Struthio camelus: one gene and its partners. The protein of the gene in region 4 interacts with the protein of the main gene of each other region in a pairwise test. Links are inferred from orthologs where the notes say so. Each region holds a gene or a part of one and is shown on either strand. Other genes may lie near its edges. The genes, in order: CUL5, PKP4, RITA1 and GOLGA2.

Region 1 (7,008 bases), on a different chromosome or scaffold from region 4:
ATTTCAGACATGCTTCCAGTTGTCAGTGACAAAGGCATGAAATCAAGAAAAATAGTTAAAACAAAGGGAAAGGTAAACTGTGGTTCTCATTTCACTCAAGCCTACAGAAAATCTGCTGCTTGTTTTGTTTCTTCCCTCCTAATACCAGGCTCAATCTCCAGTCCTGTGACTGCAAGGGCCAACTCTTGAATTTGCCAGCACCTCCAGTAAGGCTGCAGAGAAATGCCAGGATGTGCTAGCATACATACAGCTACAAGTTTTCTTCATGCTGCAGTAAACTGAGCTGTTCTGCGCCTCAGGAACCGCAGGAAAACACGTGCATCTTCACGTCACATGAGTGAATTGGTTTAGACTATTTTGTCACTGCAAAATGAACAGGTTACAAGTCCAACACATCCCCTGAAACAAAGTACTCCACTTTAAAAGAGCCAGGACCACAAGTATGTTGAAAGAAAAAGTACTAAGGAACGAATCTAGCAAAGACTCAGCCACAGAGCTGTAGCCACAGCCTACAGAAAAGTCACAGCCTTAACATGGGACAGTAGTCCTGCTATAGGTAGAGTATAAACTAGCTTGCCCATTTAATGGCTAGCTCTTCCTAAGTAGTTTAATATTTTGATCACACTGAAATTTGTTGCATCTCATCAAGAGTCAACATATGATTAGTCATACTAATTTTGCATTTAAAGAAGGAAGTCTAAGAATATGCTTCTCCCTAAAAATCAAGCACATTTTACACTTAAGAAAAACCATGCACTAGTGGAGTTTAAATGATGCCCTCTAAAACAAGGGCAGCCAGTCAGATTTCACTTCAGCCAGTACCCATTACTAGAATAGGAAAGGAATATTCCACTTCATTTTCTCAACTATGTAGAAGGTCGAGAGAGGATGGGGGAAACCCAGAGAAAACTCTTAGTTCCTGTTTATCCTAGCAAAAAATAGAACCTGCCTCAACCTGGCTTACATTAGCATACAGGCTAATTTGGAAAAATACAGACCTCCCTCAAGATTTTAACATCTCTCCTTTCTTACCCCACGGATTTTTACCGACTAGGGGATATTGCTCCCCCCTAGTGCGAGGCACTGGCAACAGCACTGACATTCAATCAATCAACGGTTTGCTTCTCCGGGAGCACACTGAGTGTCAGAACTGTGGAACAAAAACCCTCATCCAGTTCCAACTCTCTCACTGGTTTATTTTGTCATTATAAACAAAGTGAAATCACTGTCTAATTGCTCTCTTTTGTAATGTAGAACTCATACTTTATTATCTTTAGGAAACTTACTAAGTTAGCTCCCAAGTCACCAGAAAGGCCTACTCTAAGTATCTCCCTGTAGCATTTTCCCTGAAACATACTTTTTGTCAACATAAAATATTAATGATTCAAAGGCCAGTGGTGAAGCTGTCACTAGCAAACAAAAGGGCTTCAAGTCATTAGGAACCATCTCACAGAGTCAAGAACTTTGACTGTATTTTCACTTGCTGCACACCTAGTAGTTTTCAGAAGAGGTGAAGCAGAATGCTGATAAATCTCACAGGCCTTCTAGCTGCTGAGGGCTACACAACCACGTTCTCATCAACGCGCCTCTCAGCCTTCCTAGAAACCCTTACACATACTGCAAAGCAATGGACTAAATATCAAGTAGATAAACTGTTTGAACCCTACTCTAAAGCAATACTCTTCCACAAAAAAACCCCAACATTTTGTTCCAGAAACTCTTGTGGGGCATTATGCTTTTTGCCAGAATGTGTGGATTCTTCCAAGTTAGACTTTGATTAACACCTTACATAGTTTAAAAAGCTAACTGCTTATTTTCACAGGAAGAAAAAGAATTAAGAGAAATGAAAAAGAACTAATTTCCGTTACATTTCAATTTCAAGAAAAACTTTTTTTTTTTTAAAGCTCTGTCTTTATGACAGAAAACCTCTCTCTTTGGACACGAGGAAGAAACAAGGCTATCAATTATTTCTCATTTCTGCAAACTGAGTGTCTTAGAGTAATATAACCCACAGTTTCAGGACAAATCCACACACCTGAAATAGGTCAGCTTGCTGAAATGTAAGAAGCACTTTTCCAGAACCATACCTGAATACAACACACGACGCTGAACACAGATATTTATTTTACATATATTTTAACTGCTAGCCGATAAAGTTAAACAAAGCTAGCAATCTTTCACAAGCCTTTCACCACAACTACACTGAGGATCTAGAAACACTTACTGGAGGCATTAGTAACAGCTGCTTTAAGTAGGCCCGTTTTCCACGTGCTGGCACAGCCTCAAAGGCCACATACAGCCTGATCTATACGCACGCCACCAAAATTTGGACAGACAGTCCTGGACGCAAATACTGGGCTGTCACAGCAAAAACTCCCCCTAAAATTTGCAACAGGTTAGGATGATTGACATCTGTCCTCAAACATGGGCAAAGCGCCTGGAAACCCCTCGCTATGCGAGTAAAGCTGCTCGACGCAACTGAAAGGCCTGGGAGAGTTTTTCTCTGCAGAAAAATTGCCGTTAACAAAAGAGGGCCCCCCCAAGTCACAACACCTGCTCCCCGCAGCGGCGTTTTTCAACCCCTGGCTCAACTTAAAATTCGTTTTCTGCACATCCAGGGTTGCAGAAAAATCTAAACAAGAGAGCCAGCACCGCGCCCGGCCTAACAGCACGGCGCAACGTTGTTTCGCAGCGGCGCAGGTTTGGGAAGGGCGGGCGGCCCGCTAGCAGCCCAGAGGCCGCGGGGTGGCCGAGGCGAGCGGCCCGCGCCCGGCCCCGCCGCCCCCCGCTCGCCCCAGCCCCGGCGGCCCGCAGGCCCCGCGGGGCCGCCCCGGGCGCCCGGCCCCCGCCTGCCCCTCCGGCAGCGGCCGGCGCGGCCCGCCCTCACCTTCAGGAGATTAGACGTCGCCATGTTCCCCCCGCGGGGCCCCGCGGCCGCCGCCGCCTCCGGCTCCTCTCCCCACGCTCGGCTCGGCTCCCCCGGGCCGCTGCCGCTTTACATGGCGCCGGGCCGCCCGCCCGCCCGGCCGGACCCGCGGCAGCGGCGCCGCCCGCAGCGCTGCGCTGCGCTGCGCTCCCCGCCCGCCCTCCCGCGGCGAGGCCGGCGCGAGGCTGGGCGCGCTCCGCCGCGCGGCCGGCTCGCTCCCCCGCGCGCAGCCGCCCCTCAGAGCCTCATGGCGGCGTCCGCCCAGCAGACGCTCAGCGGCGGCGACCCCGGCTCCATGGAAGGGGCTGGCCCACATGATGCGCGGCGCCGAGGAGCCGGCCCGCCGCCAAGCGCGGACACCCGGGCCGGCGAGCTCCGGCGACGGCGCCCCCTAGCGTCCCGCCGCGGGGAGGCCGCCCGGCGCGGCCCGGCCCAGGCAGCCCGGCCTTGCCCCACCCCCCGTCCTTCGTGGGGGAACGGGGACCCCCCCGCCCGTCCTTCCTGGGGGAACGGGGACCCCCCCCCTCTCTATGAGGCGGGGTCCCGTCCCTACGTGTAAGCCCCCCTCTAAGCCTGCGCTCCTTTGACCGCCCTGAGTGAAAACGCGAGTTTTCTGTCTAGTAAGAAGTGTTTGGTTTTAGGCACGTTTTGGGCGGGAGATGGGGAAACGTTTTCAGTGAGAGGAAACTGAATTGTACCTTTTTATTAAAACATTTTGCTTTGGTCCGAAGTGTGTCTCCAAGAAAAAAAAAAAAAAAAAAGTCCAGCGAGCTTCTCTTACAGGTTAGGAAACCTGAGCATTAACGTCATCCATTCCGCTTTAATCTGGCCCCTTCTTGGGCACGCTGCGTGCTCGTCTCCGCTAACGACCACGCCGTTTTCCATGGCGCTTCCAATCCGTTCTTTGCGCGGATTTAGAGCGGGCAAGGAATGAGTCATCGCCCTGCGAGAAGGAGGTTTTGTCTGTTCTCCACCTGGTTTGCTAAAGAAGTTGGAAGGGGCGCAGGGGACAAGAGAGGTGGCAAGAGACAGACTTGTCCTGAGATGAAGTCAGCTGGATGCCGCTCCGGGGACCTGGTCTGTCTGGGACTCTGTCAAAGCAAGCCCATCGAAAGCGTTTTTTTCTCAGCCACCAGGAAGAACACGGATCACGGCTGTCCGTCTGGAGGGCCAGTGGTGTGCCTGACAAAACACTAAGTACTCACCACAGCCACTGGGGTTATTGAGAAGAAGGTGCTGAACAAAAGGTGTTTCGGGTATGGCCGGAGACTTCAAGCCCTAAGCCTCTCTCGGAGCTTTTAACAGCTTTGATCTCCTAATGAGTCAACACCTCGTTTGCAAATGGTGACAATAGTGCTCTCTCAGTCTTGTCTGGGGCATAAGATGAAGAGAAGAGAAACTGAGGATTTGAAGAGAAATTCATGTTGTAAAACACAGACATCCTAAACTGTTAGCTCAGTAGAAAAGCTGTCAGACAAAATTCAGAAATTCTGTGCTCCACAGAAGGTTTGATAACGTCGACTAAACAGGGCCTGCAGCCTTATTAATTTAACATGTTTTAAGGCTTAGTAAGGTGTTCTCTTAACTAAGAAGTGTTGAGGAGGTATTGAACAGTTACCCGTTTTTACAAACCTTCCAGGTTTTGAATGCTTCAATTGGACTTTAAAATTTTCCTTTGTTGTTGCATATACATTGCATAGTCTATACTATGTATATATATCATGACCAATTATACAGTATTCACTGTGTATGTAATGCATACAGTTGCACAGTTGTATATATAGTATAGAACTACACAATATAGATTGCATGGTATTATATACCATACTTTCTGTATCTATTTCATAATATGGAGGATTTAAGTCCTTATAGATCAAATTAGAGAAAAGAGAAATGAGTTTTCAAGTCTTCTTCCTGCTAATCGAAGGCTGATGATTTATAGAAGACAATATAACTAGTGATTCAATGTCCTCAGGTTGTAGCTGTGAAGATTTAGTGTTTAAATACAGTGTAAAATAAGCACATAAAGCAATTTTAAAAGTGTACAACCTCTGCTTATGTCCAAATTGGCCCATTTTTTCTAAAGCCTCTAATTTAAAAACAGAAAACGATAGCGACTGATATACATTTACCTTTCCAACATAGCTTTTATTATTCAGTACTCACACAGTGAAACACATGCAAATACATGTAAAAACATTATTTCTCCCACATTGTTAATTTGAGGGGGGAGGTGAGAGAAGAGTTTCTATTCCATCACCACCGTATTTTTAGATGATGTCACATGACTGTCTCAGCTTTGACCTGATGCTTGAGAAGAATGACCATTGCTTCATCCTTTCCAAACGCTCACAATTACTCAGCAAACAGCTTGGATCTCCACGGCTAGCTCTGAGCCTTTAAGTGAAGAACTGACTGTTCCTGGTTGCTGATGAAAACAGAAATCTGTAACATGTATCCACAGAGGAAGAGGTAGTAGGATCAACATACAAACATCTATTCCTATTCTACTCTATTTAATACTCCCACTCTACAAAAAAAAGTGTATTTTCTCTAAAAATTCAGCTCAAATCAGATTAAAAAAGAAGAATCTTCTACATATGAAAGTGGTCTCTTTTTAACAAGCAAAGAAACCTAGGTGAGGATAATATCTAATAACTACGCATAGGTGCCACTGAGCTTATAGCCCATAGGGTTGACAAATGTTCCCTGAAAGCTGGCCTGAACATCTTCCTCAGAAAGGTTTTCACCCAGACAAAGCTGATGCAGCAGATGGTGTGAGACCAAGCTCATAATGAACAAATCTCAGTCCTGCATTAATCAGCGCCTACTTCCCTCATTTTCCTAGTGGATTCAGCTCTTGGGTCACGACTGAGTAACATCATGTTGGATGAAGCCCAAACTGAAGTCAATATCATCTGGAATTCTCTATAATGGGGGCCAGCGTCAGACAGTTGCAGGAAGATGTCATACCTTGTCATTCAGAGATTTGGGACCTACTTAGGTCTCTCTTTGGTCTCTAACATTTATTGCTTAAACCCTGGACGCAAGATACACTATCCTTTACCAAGTAAAATATCAATACATTTGCTAAGAATTCTTTAATCCACCTTTTAATCCATCTCACTGAGGGATCTCTTTGCCGTTTTTGTGCACACCTACCACAGAAATGTAGCGGTACACAGGACACCCCAGGATCTGAGCGCCCACCATGGTCTTGTCTAGTCTAAGTATTCCCAGAAATCCTGTAAGCATTGCTGTAACAGTTACGCGGTTGGCCGGAAACAATCAGCAAGGAAAGTCCTGAGGACAAGCGTTTGTGCCTCCTATTTAAATACGCTCTGATGCCAAAGCTGTGAGTAGTGACAGCGGAGGAATAAAGAGGATTTGAACAGCTGAGAAGCCATGAAACTAGGAAACGGTCGTACATTTTACTGATATTAAAAATAACGTCCATTTCATTTTGCATGGCTTACATAGTAACTGTAAGATTCTTCTAAAAATCTGTACGTTATTTTTCCTGGAAAGTAAAGACATCTTTGAGCCTCAAGGTTTTGTGGTATTTTAGCACCACTTCAGGGCACACGGAAAGTACAAAGAGTTACATAATTTCGTCTAATTTGCTTTAATTCTATTGCAAATGGATTATTATTGAATTCTGACACTAATGAAAATATTAATTAATTAGTATACGGTACTACATTGGACTACAGTTTTATAAGTTTGGCATGGATCATAAAAGACAGAGTGAAAAACACTTAATCCCAGAGTTATTCCTGGATTCACAGTGATTTGCACATGCCATCTCATTAAGCTCTAGACGATCAGTGAAATGAATATTGTGCATATACAAATATATATCCTAGGCATCTTGGAGTGAATTGATTCCAGGGGCAAATATGTTGACTTTGAATGAGTTGCATCAGATATAAATATGCACTGTTACGTTCTCATCTAACACCCCAAGGCACACATATAATGAATAAGATGTGTATAGTTTCTTGTGATTTTTACTTAGTCCGTGATGGAAAAAGACATTTGATGGGTGATTAGTCAATCTTGGACACCTCTCCGATCAAGCT
Region 2 (6,996 bases), on a different chromosome or scaffold from region 4:
TTAAGTGTGCCAGTGTTGATTGCCAGACATATCTAAATCATAACTGTGACCATTTAATTGTTCTATTATCTGTAGTTATCAAAAAGCCTGAAAAAATAGTTTCCTTGAACTTGGAAGGGGGCAAAGCATCCCAGTATCGTATTTAGAAGAAGAAAGTATTAATAATCATAAATATTGTTTGATATTTGGTAAGAAGATAACAGTAACTTTTAAGTACCATCTTTTATTAGTATTTTGACTTTCCTGCAGTGATTTAATATTTCAGCTGTTCTCACTTTTTTTCCTTAGTCTTTGTTACAACCAAGCACAGGCAGGTCCAACAGACATTTTTGCAGAGCTTTGGTTGCTCTCCTCTACCTTTTCAATTGATCCAGCTTTGAAATGTCCAGCCCAAAGCTGGATATACTTCTTCAGCTAAGGAGATTGGGAAGATTGTGCATTTCTTGTAGAGGGAAATGTAAAATAAGCAGGAGTGGTAAATGAGGTCTCTTTCTTTGTCACAGAAAAGCATACTTTTGCAACTTCATGTTGCTTTCCACAGAGGTGCTGCCTTGCTGGTTGTCTTCTGTATTGCATTTGTTCCTTTGTGGTAGCATTTGTAGCCCGGATGAGCTTGGATATAGGCAAGGCAGGATTTGTACCTTGAGCTAACAGGAAATCAGTGAGCATTGCTGGGATGAACAGACAAGCTTTTGGGCATGTAAACTCTTTTTAAGGCCTAAAATAGGAGTAGCAATTTTCAAAGTTCAGTATGAGTTAGGACCAGTTGCTTATGAGCTTGGCATCTATTTTTAGATCTTTTCTCCTATTGTTCATGACCTCTGAATTCTGAACCTATCACTAAAGGTATCCATAATCCCCCAACCCCCAGCTGTCCTCTACAAAATGTTAATTGCCTTGCCTCTCGTCTGTGCTATCACTGGTAACTATGGCTGGAGAACGCTAAGCTCATGGCAGAACCCCTCCCGATGCCTCCTTTCAATGCAAGTGAACTACTGCTTTGAGTACAGCTTTCTAACAGTTATTCCTTTCTCCCCCTCCCTTTTCCCCCCTGGGATTTCTCACCTGTACTGTGTAGGTAACTTTTTAAGGCAGGACACAGCAGGAGATTGGTAGTGTCTAGTTTGGGACCACTTCAGTGATACAGCTTACCCCACATCCCTCAAACATTGCACTGGCAAAACGGGGGGAGCAAATTGCAGTCCAGAGGTCCAGAGAGAACTCGTTAGCTGTCGTTTAAGCATTTGTTCTTATCTATAAATATAATAATTTGGAGATTGTTTGTATAATGCGTTTTTTTCAACATACTACATGACAAAATTGAGGTGCATTTTTATAAATGCATATAAAGTAGGTTTGGTTTTATAATGCTACCAGTTAAAAAAATATCTGCATCTACAGGTAGTGTGTATTGTATCTAGCAATAACGGATAGAGTAGTGCCGCAGTAACAATTTTAAAGGACTGAGAGTAAATATAAGTAGAGATTGAAAAGCTCCTGCAGTCATTGTTCTGCTTGGTAGTATTTTTATCTTTGCTTACAGTTATTCTCAATCAAACTCCGTTTGCTTGTTTATAAGAGTTTTCAGATGGGAGTATCAGTTTGGAGCTTGTATTACGAGTATCTGGTAAAAGCATACATTCTGCTTAGCATACATTCACTACAGTTACTCAGCTGTTACAGTTTTTAAATTATTTTGTCATGTGATATTCATTGTGAATGTCATCATACCCTGAGTTAACTGAGAATACTCTAACACCAAACTAAGGATTAATACTTCTAAAGGATAAATAATAGATATGAATGTCTTTGTCACTTGATCGTCTGGAAAATTAAAGTCTTTGTGATGCTTGCTATACTTTTCTCTCCCTCTCAGTCCGTACTGTGATAAGACCAAACATTTATTGCTATAAATGTGCTTACTAGTCTACAGATTTGTTTTTGAACACTGTGCTCCAATGAGGCTTTTTTTTTTAATGGCAGTGAATTAAAATATGTAGTCAGAAGAGAGAAACACAGATTTGGAATGGTACAAAGGAAAAGATTCATATTTGGGGGCTGTCAGTTATGTATCCTTTATGGCACTTGAGGCTTGTGGTACTTCATGCGTTTGTGAAGCATGAATGCTCTCCAGACACCCTTCAGATGACAAAGATCCTTCTTTTTTAAGGCGAGCTACAAACAGTGCCTCAGGCCTTGGAGGTTATGATCATAAGTATGCGCTTATTCAAAGTGGCCTTCTTGCTATACCTGTCTGATCTCTTCTTTTGAATGGTTAGTTTGAAAGCTATAAAATTACTAATCCTGTGAGCATGTTACAACTGGATTTTTGTGGATGTAGAATCTTGCCTGCTCACTAGAGTGGAGTAAAAGTATGTTGCCATAGGCCAAAAAAAACGCCTGCCGCCTCTTATGAGCTGTAACAAAAAATAGAAATAAATTTACCCAAAGACTAGGGTAATTGTTTTTAACATTTTAAAAAGCATATAGCACCAGAAGCCTTTTGAACTTCAATGTGCTATTATATATACATACCCACATGTATATACACATATATATTAAAAAAAAATTAAAAGGAAAAGGAATGAGGAGGAGACTAGTAAGAGAGTTAAATGCATCTCCCATATTTCTCAAGCAGTGCATCTGTTACATTTAGATCATTTTTTTGGTGCTGAGGAACTCAGCTTGCGCCACTGTGCAGTCGTTTTTTATGCTGTCGTTATGGAAGTCCATTCCTTCCCTGTTTTCATCAAATAATTCAGTCCAGGAACATGTTCTTTGTTTTACACTCATCTTACAATAACACTTGATTCCCAGCAGCTTGTATACCACAGTAAATTTCCAGAAAGCACTATATGGTATGGTATGTATAAAACTTCTGCACTAATGATCTCCATAAAGAAAAGTTGTATTTTAATGGAATGGTTAGCCTATAGTGTGATATTTGTAGTACCTTGGCCCTTACTACATCAGGAAATTTTAAAACTATTTTTCATGTAAATGTTTGAATCATCTTTCACATAATCCATTTCTAAATGCTTGTGTTTTCTTTGCAAGTGAATAAATTGTCATCTGCTGTCTTTTCATCTAAACAAATAACAATTGGCTGATAAATGTAATATGGAATTTATTTTAGTTCAATTATGCAGTTGCACCAAGCTTGAGAATATGAATCACTGTCTAGTTTGTAGGCAAGCAACACTGGATGCAACTCTCATAGCAGGTTGGAGCTAATAGGAGCTACTCATAACTAGAAGTGTACTGACATGTCTGTGAACTAACTCATAAAGTCAGATAAATTTTAATTAGGTTTTCATCTAAAAACTGCACAAATGTAGTAAGTCTTGTTTTGTTTTCAACTTTTACATATGCTGTGAAGGATGAAAACAGAAGAATCTTTGACCAAGCACTGAAACGTGCCTTGTTGCTTAAGCATATGAATTTAAATGAACAACTTAATTGTATAATAAATAACACATCAATGTCCCTGCAAAAGTTAGGTTTAGTTTATTGGAGCTTTCTTCTGCTGTACTAATGAGTACAGCTCTGCTTTTCAGTGATTTGCTTTTGTTGCTTGAGTTAATCTTGTGGCTAGATAAATACGAGGATTTTTAGTGATGAGACATTGCTCATTGTTTTTCTCATGTTTCTCTTATTCAGTATATACAGTCTATCCTATCCTGGTTGACAGTGTTCATAAGAGTTATATTACCTCTTTAGCTGCAACTAATTGGGGGCTTCTGCTACCTGAGAAAACTGCTTCAGGTCAGCCCTGTGAGACTCCAAAACAGGGAACTCAGGGAAGGAGAAAATTTGGTGAACCGTCTCTGTAAGTGGAGCAAGAGGAATATGAAAGAATGCAAGCTGTGGACCATTCTTGCTGTCTGGAAGACAGCAAGAAAGGTCTGAGTTCTCCTGCCCACACCACAAGGAGAGAAATTACTAAACTCTGGGGAGACTGTTGAATATCACTGAGAGTGTAACAGGAGCAGCAATGAAAGGTGAGGAATAGAAACTAGCAAGAACAAGGAGAATTAAAGCATTATTTCTTACACCCAGTTTAGTGATTTGTCTTATTTTTCCCTTACTCCTCCATTGTATGTTCTCATTCCTTCCTTCCATCAGTGATTGTATGGATGCAAGATGCTTTGGTTCAGAAAATTATCCTCCTCCTTCCCTCTCCCAAAACAACCAACCAACCAGCCAACCAAAAGAACAAAAAAAAAGTGAGCATAGTGTCAAATGAGTTCACTGAACTTTTTGCTTTGCAGCTGTTTGACCTTTTGATCAGACACAAGAGGTTATCACCCATTTTTGCAGCCTACAACTTCACTGTGGGCTTAGAGGACCCATGGCAGTGTCAGAACTGGCAAACTAGGCGGTGGTGGCTCTGCCCCACCATCTCTGCTAGGGTTGGCAAAAACCACGCTGCTTTGCTGCAGAATGGGAGATCTGGGAGTTTTTACTCCCCAAGTGGAGGAGGGCTAGGAGTTGCTGCTGTGGTAGTGGAGGCAATAGGTATCCTCTGAACAGTGTAAGTGCTGTGTAAACCAGGTTTATTTCAGCAAACGTACGCAGTTGCCAAAAGAGGTGGTCTCTGCCATAAACTGGTTGGTTTGAAAACTAACTCTCTTTTGTGGCTTGGTGTGCTCTGATCCAACTTACTGTGATTTCATGAAACCATTTGAGTGAGTCTCAGTAGTAGAGAGGAGTAGAAAGCCACTTTTTTCGAATTAGTATGGAGTATTTCAGACTACAGACTTCAAATTGAAAGGCCTTACTTTCCTTTTCCTGCACACTTGCATCTAGCTTGAAAATGTAAATGCAGGCCAATATAGAGCTAGATTGTCACTGCTTCTGTTCTTTTATCTTCTAGTTTTAAATAGAGAATTTCAAAATTCAGAATTGGTGCTAAGAATTTTCTCAGATATATACTATAATATGAAGTGTTTAACAATTTTCTGGAAAATGATTTAAACACTTTACAAATATATTGATTATTTTGATTCAAGACTGATATCTACAGAAAATACTGGCAAATATTTACTGTTCTCCTCAAGTCTGCTGATAATCTCTCCTCAAAGTTTAAAAGCATCTCAGGTTATGCTTTTGAGCTATACTTAAAAAAAACAAACAAACAAAAAAACCCTACATCATTCACAGATCTGCAACATCCACCAAAAGACCTACCTCGATACAGTTAAATCCTTCCGTTCCTGTTCATTCTTTGCTATAGTGGAGAACTTAAAATCTGTAAACTCTTCTCTCAAATCCTGTCATTTTAAGAACCAGTTATGAGTCAGGTATGCTGAAATGGGTTTTACAAAGCAGTAGAACAGTAAAATATGTTTCTTGAAATCTCTCTGGCCATAATGAGAACTTGGTATTTCTAATGAGCAGACACGATCTGAGAATTAACGGAGCTGGAATACAGGAATGCATGCATCCCTGTATGTTGTGTATAGTTTTTCAGAGATTATCTTGCATAAACTTGGATTTTGTACAATGAAAAGAATGACTTCTTTCCATCCGAATTTCCTTTTATACTGGATGTTTTTGTGCTTATTTTGAAGCCATTGCAATGAAGACTCTTTAGTGGATCAATCTTGAAGCCAAATGCATTTCCTGTTATCCCACTATCTGAAATAAGATTATTATGGACAAATATTCTGTGGGCTGCATTAACACAGAGTTATTACTTTCTGTTGTATTTAAGTAAAGTTGAACAAAGTCATACAAACACTGCAATGTGAATGAAGTCGTATAGAAGCAATGCAGTCTATTTCCCATCCTATTTCTAGCTATGGAATTGGGAAAAAGATAAGTAAATTGTGCTGGAACTAACTAAATTCCATTACTCTTCCTTCCCCGCTTTGTTTTAATTCTGCATAATATATTAATGTTCCTTGTTTGGCCTTTTTGTTTTACGAGTCTTGCTCATTATCACTGATCTTCGTTCATCCTCTGGGTAGCAATGCTGTCAGGTTGTTCAGTTATACAGGCCTTCATTTTATATATTAAAAAAAAAAAACCCAAAAAACAAAAAAGACTGTAGGATGACTGTAAGGAGGATGTTATAAGAACAAATTTAATTCTTACTCGAGCCTGTTTAGGAAAACGTGTATCTGCCTATTAAGGCATGAATAGCTGAGTTCATATGGGGTCTATCCAGTAATTCTAAACACCCGTCTTAAATTCTGTTTCTTCAGACAGGCAGAAATCTAAGTTAAAGTAGACCTTTTTCTGACCAGCAAGAAATAAAAATTCGAATTTGTTTAGGGTTTTTGATGCTATTTATTTATTTATTTATTTGATCAGGCATGGGCACTGGAAGAACAAAATATTTGCCAATTGAAATACGATAATGAAATGTTTCAGCTCTAGTACTTCTAGAGAAAATGAATTTCATTGCTGAAGTCAAGTGTGACAACTTCAGTAAAATGAAGAGGGAGGATGTCAGCTGTACTTCAGAATAAAGATACACGTCTTTGAGTGTTACTCAAATATGAAGAGTGACAAAGCAAAAAATCAAAGATTCTTGGAAGATGAGCAGAATTGCTATCTCACCCAGAAATGTTTTGTTTCCTGCCAGTGTTTAAAATTAGGCGGCACTGCCTTGAGAGTGTCAGTGGTGTTATAGACTCTGCGCAGTCAAAGGGGAATATATAGGCGTTATAAATAACTTACTTGGGTGAAAGAAGGCTATAACAATTACAAGGCAGTTGATTCTCCTGGAATTCAAGACAGAATTATTTCTGTTAGGTAAGTATCTCCGTGTCAAGTGAAAAGAGTGTAGCCTACTTTAACTATTAATGAACACTTAAATCCGTGCAGGGCCTGTGTAATACTGAAAGGGAACAGAAGGAGGTTTCGAAGTTTAGGTCTGCGAATGCACAAGCTAGAATGAAGTCCGGTGTGTCAGGAAGTGTTTCACTGCCTGCTGGGCTGTTAATTTGGGCTCTCTTGAACGTTTCCAGTAGACTGCTACTGTGTCTC
Region 3 (7,585 bases), on a different chromosome or scaffold from region 4:
GCTACACTGTAGGTGTACCTGTGTCCGGTCCTGTCTCCTGGCTGGGCCCTGCACCTATGCTGTCGGTAGTCCTGTCTCCTGGCTGTCCTGACTGGACGTCCTGGACGGAAGCAACCTGACTCATTACCTCACCTCATCTGATGATCCCTGGACAGGCAATGAAAGCTGTTATTACTGCCACGGCTGTCCTGCTTGGGTGCCATGGGACTGTACCCCGCTCAGGGAGGTCACTCACTGCCGCGTTGATGCTGTGGTCACTCTCAGCTCCTGGCTCGTCCTCCCTCGTGGAGCAGTCCCCTTCTCGCTGCTCCCTGACAGCTCCTTCCCTTGTTTGCTCAATGGGTGTCAGACCCCTGTCGTGGGTAGGTTAGGGGTGCATTTACATACAAAGGGACGTTCATTTTACTTCCAGGGAGGCCTGGGTTTGCAGATACCCACTGCCTTGGAGTTCCTGGCAAAACAAGGTGCAGACACGCTCTTAGACCGAACCCTCATCAGAGGACCTCGGGGTGTTGCAGGGGCTGTTGAGGGGCACTGATTTTTATGCTTTTCTGTCTTGGGGTTGCCTGAAGCCAGTCGGAGGCTATCCGGAGAGGCGTTCAGCCGAGTGAGAGACTGAGAACGTCCTCTGTTGGGAGCACTCCGGCCTTCAGAGTCCGAATTGCTCTCAGGCCGTTTCCAGATGTAAGACTCGCCCTTATGATCTGTGCCAAGGTTTGCTAGCGCTGGCGATGCTGAGGCTCGTGGGTGGACAGCCCTCAAGGGCGTCTCCTTGGAGCGGGAGGAAAGGCTTGACTGGTTTCGGGGGGCGGATGACGGGCTCCAGAGCAGTGGACGAAGTTTGGCTACATCTTCTCTCTTCATCCAAGAAGCTGCCCAGGACGGATCCTCAGGCTTGGTGCCAAACAGGGACTCATCGCAATAGGATGGAGTGTGACTTTTCAACCTTTGCAGGGAAAAAAGCAGAGAAAAGCATGTTCATATTAAGGTGGGAAAAGACAGCAGCAGAGGCCTAACTGCCACGTGGAATCCAAAGGGGGCAAATCTTTGCTCCTTGCTCTGGATCAGCTGCTGAGGCTAAACCCCACTCCAGCCCCTCCCAAGGGCCGCTTAGGGCCAGCTGGGCTGTAAACAGGCTCCTGATCATTTGGACTGGAGAAAAGCGGACAGATAGGGTTTGCTGTATTGCTTTTCCTGAGCTGCTGGTTACAGAAAGGGGCACCAGGTTTACTAGCCCAGCGGGCTCTCTGGGACTGCATCTCAGCAACACGAGTCTACTGATGCCTAAAACACTTCAGAAAATCCCCTCCTCTGGGGAAAACTCCTCTATATAGGAGGAAACATCAGGGAAAAAGGGAAAATCTGGGATGCCTGGGCATCAGAGGCTCTCCGGACAGCTTGCAGAGGGGAAAACTGCAGCAGTACTCGACATACACGGAGATAGCGAGTCAGGGTACACAGCCGGACCATCTCCTGCCCCGCGTTCCCGGGAGCCGCTCTGAAGGCCGGCGCAGGGACGCGGACGGGCTCCCTCACCCCCGCCAGTCCCAGCCGTAGGTGCCGCAGGGTTTCCAGCGGGAGAGGAAAGAGGCCACTCACCTGTACTTGTTCCTTTTCCTGGGGGTGCCCTGCGGCGTGCAGGCGGCGGGTGCGGCGGCCTCCGCTTTCCACCTGGCCCCGGCCGCGGGCGGGCTCCACACCAAGGGCCTGGCGGGGCCGGCCTCGTCCGCCCAGGGAGGCGCGAAGTCCGGCGGCGCCGGCCGAGCCCTGCCGGGGCTGCCGAACAGCGTCTCGTCCACGAAGGACGGCCGGGCCTTCCCCCTGCAGCGGCTCCGGGGCTGCAGCCGAGGAGCCGGGCTGCTGGCGACGGCCGCGTTCATGGCCGGCGGGGCGGCGTCCGGCTGAGGGCATCGGCGAGCGGTCACGCGACTGCAGGCCATCGGGGCAAGACAGCGGATTAGAGGGATGAGGGAAAGGAGATCCCCGGGGGCTGCCGAGAAGGGCCTCGCTGGCGGGGGGGCATCGGGGCCCTGCCCGCGCCGGCCCGGCCCTCGGCCCCGGCTGCCCCTGCCACCAGCTCGCTGCAGCCCTGCCCCGCATCAGCCCTGCCCCCACTCGCCCCCGTCACTGCCCCCCGCTCCCCAAAATGCCACCTCACATCCCCCAAATCCCCCCTGCCCCCCAAACTGCCACCCCACATCCCCCCAAATCTCCCCTGCCCCCCAAACTGCCACCCCACATCCCCCAAATCCCCCTGATCACCTCATATTGTCACCCCACATCTCCCAAATCCCCTATCCCCCCCAAAACTGCCACCCCACATCCCCCAAATCCCCCTGATCACCTCATATTGTCACCCCACATCTCCCAAATCCCCTATTCCCCCCAAACTGCCAGCCCACATCCCCCAAATCCCCCTGATCACCTCATATTGTCGCCCCACATCCCCCAAATCCCCTATTCCCCCCAAACTGCCACCCCACATCCCCCAAATCCCCCGATCACCTCATATTGTCACCCTACATCCCCCCAAATCTCCCCTGCCCCCCCAAAACTGTCACCCCACATCCCCCAAATCCCCCTGATCACCTCATATTGTCGCCCCACATCCCCCCAAATCTCCCCTGCCCCCCAAACTGCCACCCCACATCCCCACATCCCCCCACCATCTCAAAGTGCCACATCACATCCCCCCAAACCCCCTGCCCATCCCAAACTGCCACCCTACATGCCCCAAATCCCCCTGCCCACCCCAAACTGTCCCCCCACATCCCCCCAAATCTCCCTTGCCCCCTAAACTGCCCCCATAGCCCCCTCCAACCCTCTGCCCACCCCACATCCCCCAAATCCCCCTGCCCCCCCAAACTGCCCCCCGCATCCCCCCACCCCCTGGCCCCCCACACTCCCCCCCCACATCCCCCTCAATCCCTCTGCCCCTCCCCGGACCCCCCCGCCCCCACCTGGCCCGGGCGCGGGGCCGCGCGAGCCCCGCCCCTTCCGCCCCGCCCCCGCCGCCCACGTGCTGCCGCCGGGGCGGGGCCTCGCCGCGTGCTTCCGCCGCCGCCGCCGCCGTCGACATGGCGCCGCCGCGCGCCCGCCGCCAGCGGGAGCGGCCCGGCCCCGGGGAGCAGCGCCGGGCGCCGCCGGTAGGGGGACGGGGGGGGTCGGTGCGCCTGGTCCCAGGGGGCCTGCGGTCCCCGGTGCCCCGTCTGCCCGGGGTCCCGTGTGCTCAGTGACCCCAGTCCCCCATGTCCCCAGGGTCCCCAGGGTCCCCCATCTCCCCAGTCCCCCCTGTGTCCAGTGACCCCAGTGCCCCATGTCCCCACTCCCCCATGTGCCCAGTCCCCCGTGTCCTCGGTGACCCCAGTCCCCCATCTCTCCAGTCTCCCGTGTGTCCAGTGACCTCAGTGCCCCATGTCCCCACTCCCCCATGTCCCCAATCCCCCATGTGCCACGTGTGCCCAGTGCCCCATGTCCCCACTCCCCCATGTCCCCAATCCCCCATGTGCCCCGTGTGCCCAGTGCCCCATGTCCCCACTCCCCCATGTGCCCCGTGCCCCATGTCCCCACTCCCCCATGTCCCCAATCCCCCATGTGCCCCATGTCCCCAATCCCCCATGTCCCCAATCCCCCATGTGCCACGTGTGCCCCGTGCCCCATGTCCCCACTCCCCCATGTCCCCAATCCCCCATGTGCCCCGTGTGCCCAGTGCCCCATGTCCCCACTCCCCCATGTGCCCCGTGCCCCATGTCCCCACTCCCCCATGTCCCCAATCCCCCATGTGCCCCATGTCCCCAATCCCCCATGTCCCCAATCCCCCATGTGCCACGTGTGCCCAGTGCCCCATGTCCCCAATCCCCCATGTGCCCCGTGCCCCATGTCCCCAATCCCCCATGTCCCCAGTCCCCCGTGTCCTCGGTGACCCCAGTCCCCCATATCCCCAGTTCCCTCTGTGCCCAGTGACCCCAGCCCCCCATGTCCCCAGCCCCCCGTGTCCCCAGTCCCCCGTGTCCCCAGTCCCCCATGTCCTCAGTGACCCCAGTCCCCCATGTCCCCAGTCCCCCGTGTCCCCGGTGACCCCACTCCCCCATGTCCCCACTCCCCCATGTCCTCGGTGTCCCCAGTCCCCCATGTCCCCAGTCCCCCATGTCCCCAGCCCCCCGTGTCCCCGGTGACCCCAATCCCCCATGTCCCCAGTCCACCGTGTCCCCAATCCCTCATATGCCCTGTGTGCCCAGTCCCCTGTGTGCCCCATGTCCCCGGTGACCCCAATCCCCCATGTCCCTAGTCTCCCGTGTGCCCAGTGTCCCCAATCCCCTGTGTGCCCAGTGACCCCACTCCCCCATGTCACCAGTCCCCCATGTGCCCAGTGACCCCAGTTGCCCATATCCCCAGTCCCCTATGTCCTCGGTGACCCCGTGTCCCCGGGGTCCCTGGTGCCCAGTATACCTGCTGTCCCCAGTGCCAGCATCCCCAGCGCCAGCGTCCCCAGAGCTGCTGTCCCCCCATGCTGTTGGGGCGCCTGGCCGCCCGCGCCCCTCCCCACGGTGCCGTTCCCTCCGCAGGCCCCCGGGTGCGCGCTGCCGGCCTTCCCCGCTGCCGAGGAGGCCACTGCTGAGCTGGACACCCAGGCCATGGTACGGGCCCAGAACAAGAAGAAGAAGAAATCCGGAGGCTTCCAGTCCATGGGTACGTGTTGGGGGCTGGGGGTGGGGGACCCTTGGAAACGGGGCCGTGCCGAGTCTGCTCCACGGGGCCCTGTCCTGCTTGTGTTGCTCCGTCACCTGCTAACCCCTGTCTTCTCCAGGCCTGAGCTACCCTGTCTTCAAGGGGATCATGAAGAAGGGCTACAAGGTGCCCACACCCATCCAGAGGAAGGTGAGCCCCCTCGGGGCACGGGGCACTGGACCGAGGGCCTCCGGGGCGATGGGTGCTGCCCACGTGGGGTGCCCGCTCCAGGCGGCGGTGCTGGGTGGTGAGGGCAGCGCCGCTGGGCTGTGTCTTGCAGACCATCCCGGTGATCCTCAACGGCAAGGACGTGGTGGCGATGGCACGGACGGGCAGCGGGAAGACGGCCTGTTTCCTCATCCCCATGTTTGAGAAGCTGAAGGCCCACAGTGCCCAGACGGGGGCCCGAGCCCTTGTCCTCTCGCCCACCCGCGAGCTGGCCCTGCAGACCATGAAGTTCACCAAGGAGGTACCGGGACGGAGGTGGTGCTGGCTGAGCTGGGATGGAGGGATGGAGGGCAGGGGAGGCAAGAGCTCGAGCGGTACCATTAACCTGTGGGGCTCCATGCTGCAGCAGATGATGTTGAATTATCACCAAAGGGTGAAGGACATCTTTATCTCTTAGTGCTGCTGATGATGATCAAGCGCTGTCCTTTGCCGGGGGGATCTGTGCAGTGCCGGGATATGACTTGTGGCTGCCGTGCATGGCCAACCCCTTTCTTAGAGGTTCAAGCTAATCCACGAAGGGAGGAGGGAAGAGCAGGCAGAAGGAAAACACGTTGCGTTGGTGCCCTCATCACCTGCCTGCTCTGCTGCGTCCCCAGCCTTGGCAGCAGGGCTGTTTGCTGGCATTGGAAGGGAACAGCCTAGGGATTTGTTTTGAGGCCGAATCTGCTTGTAATTCTCCCGTGTTTCTCCCTTACCCTGCAGTTGGGCAAGTTCACAGGCTTGAAGACAGCCCTTGTCCTGGGAGGAGACAAGTAAGTCATCCCCAGTGCCCCTACCAGTGTTTCTGCCCTTCCCCTAAAGCCCAGGCAGCCCTCCCGAGGCTTTCTGCAGGCACTTGGCCTGTCCCAGCTTCCCTAAAATGTGCTGAGGGCTGCAAAAATCTGCCAGATGTTGGGACTGGGCATCACAGTGGCATCTGGAGCAGGGTTCCTGGGCTAGATGGTCTGAAGTTTCAGCTGGCCATCAAAAGAGCTACTCACTTGCTCACGCGTGAGATCTCAGGGCTGAGGAGCTCTCCTGTGCAGTGGGTCCCTCTCCGCAGCCTCGAGCATGCAAAGTGTGGCCTGGAAGGATCTGGCCTTCGCCCCATGCCCTGGGCTGGCCCCCAGCTCTGCAGTCCCCAGTGGCTTGCCCGGGGAGGCCTTGCGAAGGCAGGCGGGCTGAGCTGCCCCTCTGCCGCCTGGCCCCGTCTCAGGCTCTCTCCCCTCTCGCAGGATGGAGGACCAGTTTGCTGCGCTGCACGAGAACCCCGACATGTGAGTCTCTGGGGTATCTGGAAGGGTCTGCGCTTCCCTGCTGATGTGGCGAGGAAACGTGTGCTGACAAACGCTGGACGCGCACCGTGTTGGGGTGATCCTGGGACCAGCTGCTGGACCTGGAAAGGGTGCTGCCTCCCTGGGACCCCCATGATGTCCCTTGGGTTACCCACTACCCTGCTGCTGATGGCCTGGTGTGGCCCCAGCGGTCCTGACTCGAGCCCTGCGAGCTAGCTGGCCCTGCTCCTGGTGCCATCCAAACACAGGCTGAATTCTGCCCTTCTGGCTGTGCCACCCGGGGATTGGCATCATGAAGGAGGTCACTAGAGATGTCTCTGGCGTTTACAATCACATCCCATGGCCATGTCCTAGGCTTTCTTCAGAGTGTCTTCCTGTGTTCCTTGCATGGAACCAGGGAGTTTCTGTCTGGTTGTCTTTGAGCCAGACTTGTGCTCTGGCACCTGGGAGGGAGGTGTCCCATCCTGCTTCCCCACGCTCGTCTCATGGCTGAGGTACGGACCGGCCGAGCATTGCGGTCTCTGTTCCTTGCAGAATCATCGCCACCCCGGGGCGCCTGATGCACGTGGCGGTGGAAATGAATCTGAAGCTGCAGAGTGTGGAGTACGTGGTGTTCGACGAGGCCGACAGGTCAGCGAGGGCCAGTGCCGGGGCAGAGCGGGGCCTGCTGGGCACTGCCTTTCCAGTAACGTGCTCGCTGGGATGAAAGTGGCTGGACTGTGGACTCGGGGGAGCTGTGTGCCCCATGTTTGGAGTGAGCAACGAGCCCTTGCAGGGGGTGGGAGACGCGGAGGGCAGGAGGTGTGCGGAAGGAATGAGGTGCCTTGGCTGGGTGGTGCTGGCAGGTGCCAGGAGGCAGGGCTGGGCATGGCAGGAGATGCCAGCGCTCTGATGTCCCGCGTTCCCTGTCCTGCAGGCTGTTCGAGATGGGCTTTGCAGAGCAGCTCCAGGAGATCATCGCTCGGCTCCCTGAGAGCCATCAGACGGTCCTCTTCTCGGCCACACTGCCTAAGCTGCTCGTGGAGTTTGCTCGAGCTGGTGAGGACCATGGGGAGGACAGTGACTGGAGGGGCTGGGGGCAGCCAGGTTAAAATTAGCTGTTAGAATCAGTGGCCCTACCCAGCTGGCAGTTCCCCACTGGGAGGTTGGGGACAGGGACGTGACGCACATGAGTCCATCCACAGATTGAGGACTGGGGAACCCGAGTTGGGTCGAAGCTGGGCCAGGTGGGTATCCCCAAGCCAAGGGATAGGGCTGGTCCCAGCAGCACATCGCAGTGTGTGACCACGTGCCATGTGTGACCCATGTCCTACAGGGCTCACGGAGCCGATGCTGATCCGCCTGGATGTGGAGTC
Region 4 (7,963 bases):
ACACTACATACACAATAATCCACAAATTCCAAGATAAAAGAACGTTTGTAATAGCCAATCAGATCAAAACATATTTCACATATTTCTCCAAGCTGAGAAAGCTGAGGGAAAAAAAAAATTTGGAAAACAAGGATGAACAGAAGTAGTAAGTTCTCCATTTTCCGAACAGAACAAACCGTAGACACAGTCAGGCCTTCATTTCAAGACCAAGTGCCATCTCAGCAGCAGCCCCAGAACAGCCATCCTCACCTGCATCCACCTAACGCTCCTGGTGATTACGATAGCTCAATTTATTGCTGGAGAGAAGTGGATAAGCAGTAAATATAATAAATGGTTTATTTTGTGACAACTAGACTTGAAAATGAGGGTGGAAAGGTATGCAGTCAAAATGATGGTGCAACCAAGTGACACTGGGAAGCAGAGCTTTAGTGTAACAAAATTGGAAGAAAATTCTGGGCTACAAACTTTGACTTTCCTATCACAATTCTAGCTTCCAGTAAACTGATTACCTACAAATAAAAGGCTGATGTAAGTTCGCTCCTGAACACATTTTTATTGCTCACTGAAGTATTTCCTTCCCTTTCATCTCCAGGAGCCAGGGAACAAGAAGACCCTGAAGGCCATAAATGCTTGACTTGAAATATCTGACCTCCTGCCTAAACATATTTAAAATCATAGTACTTGCCAGAGTGTGCATCACCTGTGCAAGTTTCATCACCCGTCATAAAATGGCTTGGCTGGAATAACTACATAGCTTACTCATGGCAGCTCCTTGACTAGAGATGAGCAGAAACATGCCCCTCAGAAACAAGGCACTGGGAAAGAAAGCAGTGATACCCAAAACAGCAGAAATAGAGACTGAGAGAACACTACCTTTTCCTAGTGCCAGACAGGTTTTTACGCCCCTTTGCTACAACTTCTTGGAAACTCATCATATAGTAAAGGCAGTCACTCATCATTGTTCATTGCCTCACACCAAATTCCTGATATTCCCCAAAGCTTGACTGTCCCAAGAAAAAGTTCTTGACAAGGTTCACTTCTTCACTTGTTAAGTTTGACACAAACCAGAAGGAAACACACTCTCACAAACAACGGAAAGGCATGTTAAGAAATAGCTCCATGTTAATGAAAACAGCAACAAAACTCAAGCAACTGACAGCAGATGCGTCAGAACGAGACTCCACCCGAAAATCAGAGTCGGTTTGAACAGAACTGGAAGCATGCAGTAGGGACAGCAAGTCACCGAGAGGGACGCGGAGCACTGCCTCACCTTCCTCTTGTCCAATGAGGGTATGGCTACCCCATTGGAGCGGTTAAGGTCTGACACCAGCACCTTCAGAATGTTCTGAATCTAAAGGAGGCGAAAGAAAAGTGGAAAGAGAAATGGCTCAGAAAAGGACAGAGAGAAAATACCAATCAAAGGTAGCCACAGAAGCTGGCACCCTCCAGCTCGTTAGGAGGATACGCCTCAAAACAACAGCTCTGGACATACCCAGGGTTGCACTGTACCCCTGTACGATCAAACACTGCTTCGCCATAAACCCTGACGCTAGCGTGCGCCTTCAAGGGATTTTAGTCGCTAACCATTGTAGCTCACTTCATAAACTGGTAATACCAGCATCTCAGCCATTCATATGTTACACCGGCAAAACCCTCCTCCTCCTCCTGTAGTCAGGTCGTATGGGAAACCAAAGAACAACAAGGTGGCTAATGATTTGGGAGAAAGAATGGAATACTTACGTTCTCTGGAGACTGTTGGTCATCATTTGTGGGAGTCTCAGGTCTACTTCCTTCTTTAGTTTTTCTTTTTTTCTTGGCTCCCGCAGTTGCTCCAGGGCTATTCTTCTGCTGATATTCCTTCAGCTGGGGGGGGGGAGGGGGGAAAAAAAGAAGAATCTGAAGTCCACAAATGGAACGTGCCTTCTACAGCTACAAGGTCAACAAATAATGAAAAGAATAAAAAGATCACGGGGTAAAAAGGGAGATCAGGCATAGAGACATGAGCAACTGTCTTTGAAGAGTTTCTCTGAAAAAAGTTAGAACAAGTCGAGAAGGCTAAATTGAGAGCTGGTGCGATGGGTTTGGGGCCAGAGACTCAGGGTTGCAAACGCGCAGCTTTGCTATGCAACCAATGAAATTTGGCTATGGGAAGGAAAGAACGTGCCATCCTTTACTGCAACTGAAAGGAAATAAATAACTTTGATGACTTTTAGGGTTATAACCAAGAGCAATAAGGTGAAATTAATAAAAGGCAATTAATCCTGAATAGTAAGTGAAAAAGCAGCGCCTGAGAGCAAGCTCTGCCCTTCTGCCAAAGAGTTTGAGAAGGAAAAGGACAGGCCTCCCCGACAGACAACACGCCGACACAGACGCTGCAGCTCCGAACTGGGGGGACAAACGACATCATGGAGCAAACCAACGGCTCCGTTTATAAAAACGGGCTTGACTGTGCTCTCCGCGGCCGGATTTAAAACAGTTTCCATTTTCCCTAGGAAAAGCTAGACAGGTGAGCCCTAAACTGCACCTTTCTAAGCCTTTCCCTCAGTCTTTCAGTGCCGGTGTCTTTCAGACAGCGAAACCCCCGGCGGGAGCGAGCCCCCAGCACTCACGCAAACCACCCGCTTCTCCCCAGGGCGGCAGGCAGCGGCCGCGGGGCCCGAGGCCCGGGGCCGGGCCAGGCCAGGCCAGACCCGCCGCGCCGCGGGGCTCAAAATGGCAGCGCGCCCCGCTGCCGCCGGCCCCGCCGCACCCGGGGGCCGAGCCGAGCCGGGCCGGGCCGGGCCGGGCCTCAGCCCCCTCCGCGGCCGCCGCGAACGGGCAGCGCGGGGCAGCGCGCAGACGAGCCCGGCCGGCGCCCCGCCGCCCCGCTCCGCTCCCCGCGCCGCCTCCCTCCCTCCACGCCGGCCCCGCACCTTCTTCTTGGCCGCGGCCAGCTTGCTCTGCCTGCTGCCGTCCGCCATGTCCGAGCCGGGCCCGGGCCACGTCAGCCGGCGCAGGGCGAGCGGCGCAGGCGGCCGCCAGGCTCCGCCCCGGCCCCGCCGCCGCCGCCATCGCGCCCGGCCCGGCCCCCGCCGCAGGGCGGCCCCGGCCCCGAGCCGCCCAACGGGCCGCCTGCGGCAGTCGGGCCGCCGGAGAAGGGCCGGTCTCAGCGGGGCAAGCGTCCCTCCCCCTCTCTAGGCCCTGTCCTACAGAGCCGGCTGCCCTGCCTGCATCGCTTCGGTGCCTGATCCCCCCCCCCCCCCACCGCAGTTACGGCCAGTAAAGGGGGTTGTGTTTGGCCAGTAAAGGGGGTTGTGTTTTGCTGGTTTGTAGTCCCGTTCCCGCATCCTTTGACCTTCCGAGTCGGCAACAGCGGGATTTGGCCTGCGCGCTCGGCCAGGGAACGTAAAAGGCCCGTTGCCAGCGCTTGGCGCTGCACAGGGACGTCTGCCTTTGGCCAGCAGGGAAGGAAACTCTGCACCCAACCAAGGAGCAAGACAGGAATTGTCTCATTCTCCCCGGCTTCTCGGAGGAGGCGATTTATTTTCTCTGCCTTCTCGGAGGAGGTGAAGCAGATGATGGCTAGGGACGGACGCGCAGGTGGGGCGGCTGGACGCGGCCCAGGTTGCCAAGCCTGACGGTTTATATCTGACTCTTCTGAGTTTGATCCTGCTTCCCGCTGCTGCTGTTGGCGTCCTACCTGACCTCGGCCTGCTCGGGGTGCGGGGGGAATATCCAGCGGCGGGTTGGCAGGCGGGAGGTCTCGAAGCGCACCTTGGAGCGGTGGTGGCCTCCCAGCCAGCGCGTCCCTCCTCGCGGGGCCCAGCCGGGCACGACGCGCGCTGCCGCTGGTGGCACCGGCGGCGGCGGCTTTCTGCCTAGGAAAGTAGGGGCTGGAGGCAGGTCCCCGAGGGACCGCCGGCACCCGGCCTCGGGGAAACCTGCCGCTGGCGGCGCGGAAACAAGGCTGTGGCACCTGGAAGGCTCGAAGGCGTTTTCAGAAACACTCGGTGCCAACGGAAGAGCTCCCGGCTGGGCTTATTTGCCTGGTTATGTTCTGCCCCGCCGCCGATTTCACCTGTAGTTTCAGACGGGAAGATGCATTCCTCAGCGCCCGTCCGCAGCCTCGGGGACCGGGTCCCACCCCCGCGGGACTACAGCTCCCGGCGCGCCCCGCGGCGGCGCGACTACGGCTCCCGGCGCGCCCCGCGGCGGCGGGGTCCGCGCGGTGCTGGCGTGAGGCGGTGGCCCTGGCGGAGCAGCCGCCGCCGCCGCCGGGGGGGTCCCCGCCGGGCTCGGGGCGCAGCGGGAGCTGCCCGCCGCTCCGGCCTGTCCCGAAGAGGTAGGAGCTGGTTCCTGGCCCTGCCCGCCTCTCGGGTCCCCTCTCCCTCTCCCCCGGGGCTCCGGCCCGGCCCGGTTGCCCGGCCGCTGACGCGGCGCCTCCCTCTGCTTTGCCCAGGACCCCCGGTGGCGCCCGGCGGAGCGGCACAGCCGGTTTCAAGTCGCCGGTGAGTCCCCGTGCTGTTGCGGGGGGAGGCGCGGCCGCCCGGCGGCCCCCCCTCGGCGGTGGTGGTCCCCCCTCGGCGGTGACGTCCCCGCTGGGGCCTGCCGCCTCCTGCCGGCGCCTTTCCTCTCTCGGAGAGCGGGGTAAGGCGCGGGTTGCCGGGAGCTGCTTTTCCTTACGCGGGCTCTTCTCCCCGTCTGAAGAAACTCGGCAGCGTGCAGTGCCCTCCCTCAGCTCCAGGGGCAGCAGAGCAACCTTCCTGCCCGTTCTGTCCGTACGGCTTCATGTCTGCCTCAGAGAGATGACTTCTGCGGTGACAGTTCAGTTCCCGTGGCCTGTTGTAGTCACTGAAGTCTCAGCTGAAACAGCAGTTGGTCCCAGTGTTTGTGATGATTCACACTGGCGTAGCAATGGCTCTTTTTCCTGGAGAGTGAAATTGCCTGTTGCCTTAGTGCTTTATCAGGGTAAACGACATCTAAACTGCTCAACGGCATCTCTTGAGTAACTGGCAGCCTGGAGTTGTGTCAGTATGCAACACTGCATCATCCTGGGAACTTGTTTGAAAAGCCAGATTGTAATCTTTCCCTTAGCACTGTAAAAGTACAAAATGCTGTAGAATAAGATTTATTATAAAATAGAGCCGGCTGACATTAAATATATTGAGAAATACTTTACTTGAGTCTAGCCCCCTCCCTTTTTTTTCCCTTTTGTTTGCCCAGTGATGCTTAATGTATCTTCTGATCAGTTCCTTCTGGCACAATAGTATCTTATCCCATGCTGAGTGAGTGGAATGTTAAATGTGTTCTGTGCTCTGCAGATCCCATCTCCAAGGTCCTGCCAACCTAATGGAGCCAGTGAAGAAGCCCTGCAGTATGAAATTGAAGAGCTGAAACAGAAAGACCTCGCTCTAGACCAGGAAATTGCACAATTTTTGTCTGAGTATGTCCTTGGCAAGCTCAATGTTCAGTGTGAGGCCTCAGTATTTTTACTTTTAAAACTAAACGTGGCCCAGGAGTTAGAACTAAAAGCTGACCTGTTACATTGGTTGTTTTATCATATTGTTATGTAATGCTCATTACAATATTGTTTGAATTATGGGACCAGTTAAAGACAACAGGGAATTCTTTCCTGTTTATTTGGTAAAGCAAAGAAAGCGATATTACAGCTGAGACGAGAAGACTTTTGACTTAACCTCAGATGTTACTGTAAACTGGGAATGACTAATTTGAACCATCAGGATGTGTTACCAAAATTGCTTGCTCATATGGAATTGAAAATGGAGATCATGACTTTTGACCTGTTCAGATTAAACTGTTTCCCTTGTTCCATGTGGATGTGGTGCTCACTTGTTCTGTGTCTGAGGTGAGCTGTTGGAAGTATTGACCTTTGTGTTCAAGAAGCAGGGGTGTTTTCCTGACAAGCAAATGCCCTGCAGAACATTTTGGCTTAATGGGTGCCGCATACAGGATAGTGCAGCTGTTTTAGTGTGATTCCTTATGACACATTTTGGGATCACCAGGGTTTTCTCAAACTATTTTGGGATTTTTCAGACTGGTTTGAGAAAAAATTGCTGTGTGTGGTTTTTTTTTTTGGGGGGGGGGGGTTGTGTTGTGTGTTTGTTTAAGCGGGGGAACCTCTGTGGGTTATACGTAGTGAGTGGTATCTTCTAAAATAATGTGTATAGTGCCTAAAATGGATTGGGAAATCATAGAACAATGAATTCAATTCCAAAAGCTGCTGTTTCTTTTAAGCCTCAAGGGTAAACAGACCTTTAATTTGCTCACTATGTAGCAGCAGCAGTCATGCTGTCACACTGTGTCGTGATTTTTTTTTTTTTTTTTTTTTTTTAACCTTCCTGGATTTATTGTTACAGAGGCTACAGTCTGGAAGAACTGGAGAAACACATCTCCCTGCTCCATGAGTATAATGATATTAAAGATGCTGGACAGATGCTGTTAGGCAAGCTGGGTAAGGAAGGAGATGAACAGCTTCTTAGTAAATTTTTTCATCTAGATAGAAAGAGAAGCTGCTACGCTGTGAAGGCGTAGCTTATTTTAAAGATTCTGCAATTCTAGGCTTCTTACTAAAATCACTTGTGCAAGCACAAATGATTCTGTCATTATTTCTTTGGAATCTTTTGGGAACTGGACATATCCTGAGCAGCATATGAAATAATTGACACTTGCAGGTGTTTTATTATGTGTTACGGGTTATCAAAATTTGATTAATCTTATTACTTTCTTTTACCATTTCTTCACGTTTAAAAAAATGGGGCAAGCAGGAGGCATAGCTACAGAATTTTTGATTGTTTTCTTAGCTATGGGAGGTTCTAGGATAGTTAGGGGGTTAGTGAAAGCAAAATGCAACTCTTGTGGCTAACCTACTGTTCGTTTAATGAAAGTAATGGTGTGTGTTTCTTTTCTAGCTGTTATTCGAGGGGTTACCACAAAGCAGCTATACCCTGAATATGATCTGGAGCTTAGCGACTAGTATTGAACCTGAAGACTACAGTGTCCTGCAAAGATGCCTATTACTGGGCCGTTGGGTTTTGGTGTCATACCTATTTAAAAATGATAAAAGGTGGCCTTGGAAGTGTGTAGCCTTTCAAGAGAGCATATGTTAACAGCCTTTTTTCTAAGAAGCTTTGGAACATGAAAGTTATCACCCGTTTCCTGTTTGTGGAAAACGGACGTTGGGGATGTGGGATTTTGTATAATTTCAATTCGTCTACTTCCTGATCAACACTTTTTTTGTTTTTTTTTCCATAGGAAGGGTTATAATTCAAGGTTGATGCTGAGTCTCTTCCCATTGAGCTTTTACTTCTCTAGAGCATCATGAGACTATTTGGATATGCTAATCTGCAGGTGGAAGCAGCTTTTAATGAATGGATAGAGGAAATGAGGGTAGAAGAATATACAATGTAATAGCTGCTTGAAAAGAAAACCCCTCAAAAGTAGGGAGGGAAGAAGGTTGGAAGTGTGTGGGGGAGTTTTGTTTGTCTGTGGTTTTTTTTGTTTTGTTTTTATGACCAAATTTGGGAAGTTTGGGTTCTCTGCATTTTTGTACCTCTCTGATCTAGTATCTAGAGATTTTGCATCACTTCTGTAGTAAATAGCAAAATGTGAAGTTGTATTAAATTGTCTAGTCTGAATAAAGCAGCTATCACGTTTCTCAGCAATTCCCTTTAAGAGCCTATAAAAAAACCTGGGAACAAATCCTTAAAACTATATTCTGAGACAACTGTAACATCTATTATTCAGATGCTTTTCTGAGGACTCTTAATGGAGACAACGTAGCAGCACTGATATCAGTCACGGGTAGGTGGAGAATTACTTTTGCTTATTTCTAAGTGCAGAGTCACTGTGAAAGCGAGCGGTGTCCTAGTCACAAAATTGTTGAGAGCATTAATGTTTCCGTGTCAGGTGTTAGGAATGAGGGTGACTGTACAACCTAAATTTGGCTACTTTGTGCAGCTCTGTA

What was found.
Region 1: the proteins of GOLGA2 (region 4) and CUL5 interact in binary tests that used the Homo sapiens proteins (3 or more experiments, as listed by UniProt). The two-hybrid records come from large-scale screens. The link is inferred for Struthio camelus from reciprocal best matches to the Homo sapiens genes GOLGA2 and CUL5.
Region 2: the proteins of GOLGA2 (region 4) and PKP4 interact in binary tests that used the Homo sapiens proteins (3 or more experiments, as listed by UniProt). The two-hybrid records come from large-scale screens. The link is inferred for Struthio camelus from reciprocal best matches to the Homo sapiens genes GOLGA2 and PKP4.
Region 3: the proteins of GOLGA2 (region 4) and RITA1 interact in binary tests that used the Homo sapiens proteins (3 or more experiments, as listed by UniProt). The two-hybrid records come from large-scale screens. The link is inferred for Struthio camelus from reciprocal best matches to the Homo sapiens genes GOLGA2 and RITA1.

What each region holds. Positions count from the first base shown.
Region 1 is NC_090942.1:205,700,961-205,707,968, forward strand, and holds the start of CUL5 (cullin-5), read right to left. Parts: upstream 3,012-7,008; 5' UTR 2,912-3,011; coding exon 2,888-2,911; intron 1-2,887. UniProt on the Homo sapiens protein: Core component of multiple cullin-5-RING E3 ubiquitin-protein ligase complexes (ECS complexes, also named CRL5 complexes), which mediate the ubiquitination and subsequent proteasomal degradation of target proteins.
Region 2 is NC_090947.1:46,343,103-46,350,098, forward strand, and holds the start of PKP4 (plakophilin-4), read left to right. Parts: upstream 1-3,979; 5' UTR 3,980-3,994; coding exon 3,995-4,001; intron 4,002-6,996. UniProt on the Homo sapiens protein: Plays a role as a regulator of Rho activity during cytokinesis. May play a role in junctional plaques.
Region 3 is NC_090958.1:7,134,030-7,141,614, forward strand, and holds the start of RITA1 (RBPJ-interacting and tubulin-associated protein 1), read right to left. Parts: upstream 3,008-7,585; 5' UTR 2,961-3,007; intron 1,930-2,960; 5' UTR 1,881-1,929; coding exon 1,600-1,880; intron 947-1,599; coding exon 403-946; 3' UTR 1-402. Other genes in the region: ATP-dependent RNA helicase DDX54, read left to right, coding at 3,078-3,146, 4,566-4,689, 4,808-4,878, 5,009-5,197, 5,659-5,708, 6,171-6,212, 6,765-6,860, 7,147-7,268 and 1 more. UniProt on the Homo sapiens protein: Tubulin-binding protein that acts as a negative regulator of Notch signaling pathway.
Region 4 is NC_090961.1:7,531,753-7,539,715, forward strand, and holds the start of GOLGA2 (golgin subfamily A member 2), read right to left. Parts: upstream 3,007-7,963; 5' UTR 2,961-3,006; coding exon 2,913-2,960; intron 1,864-2,912; coding exon 1,741-1,863; intron 1,352-1,740; coding exon 1,271-1,351; intron 1-1,270. Other genes in the region: DNA repair protein SWI5 homolog, read left to right, coding at 4,032-4,321, 4,439-4,487, 5,301-5,422, 6,357-6,451, 6,909-6,973. UniProt on the Homo sapiens protein: Peripheral membrane component of the cis-Golgi stack that acts as a membrane skeleton that maintains the structure of the Golgi apparatus, and as a vesicle thether that facilitates vesicle fusion to the Golgi membrane.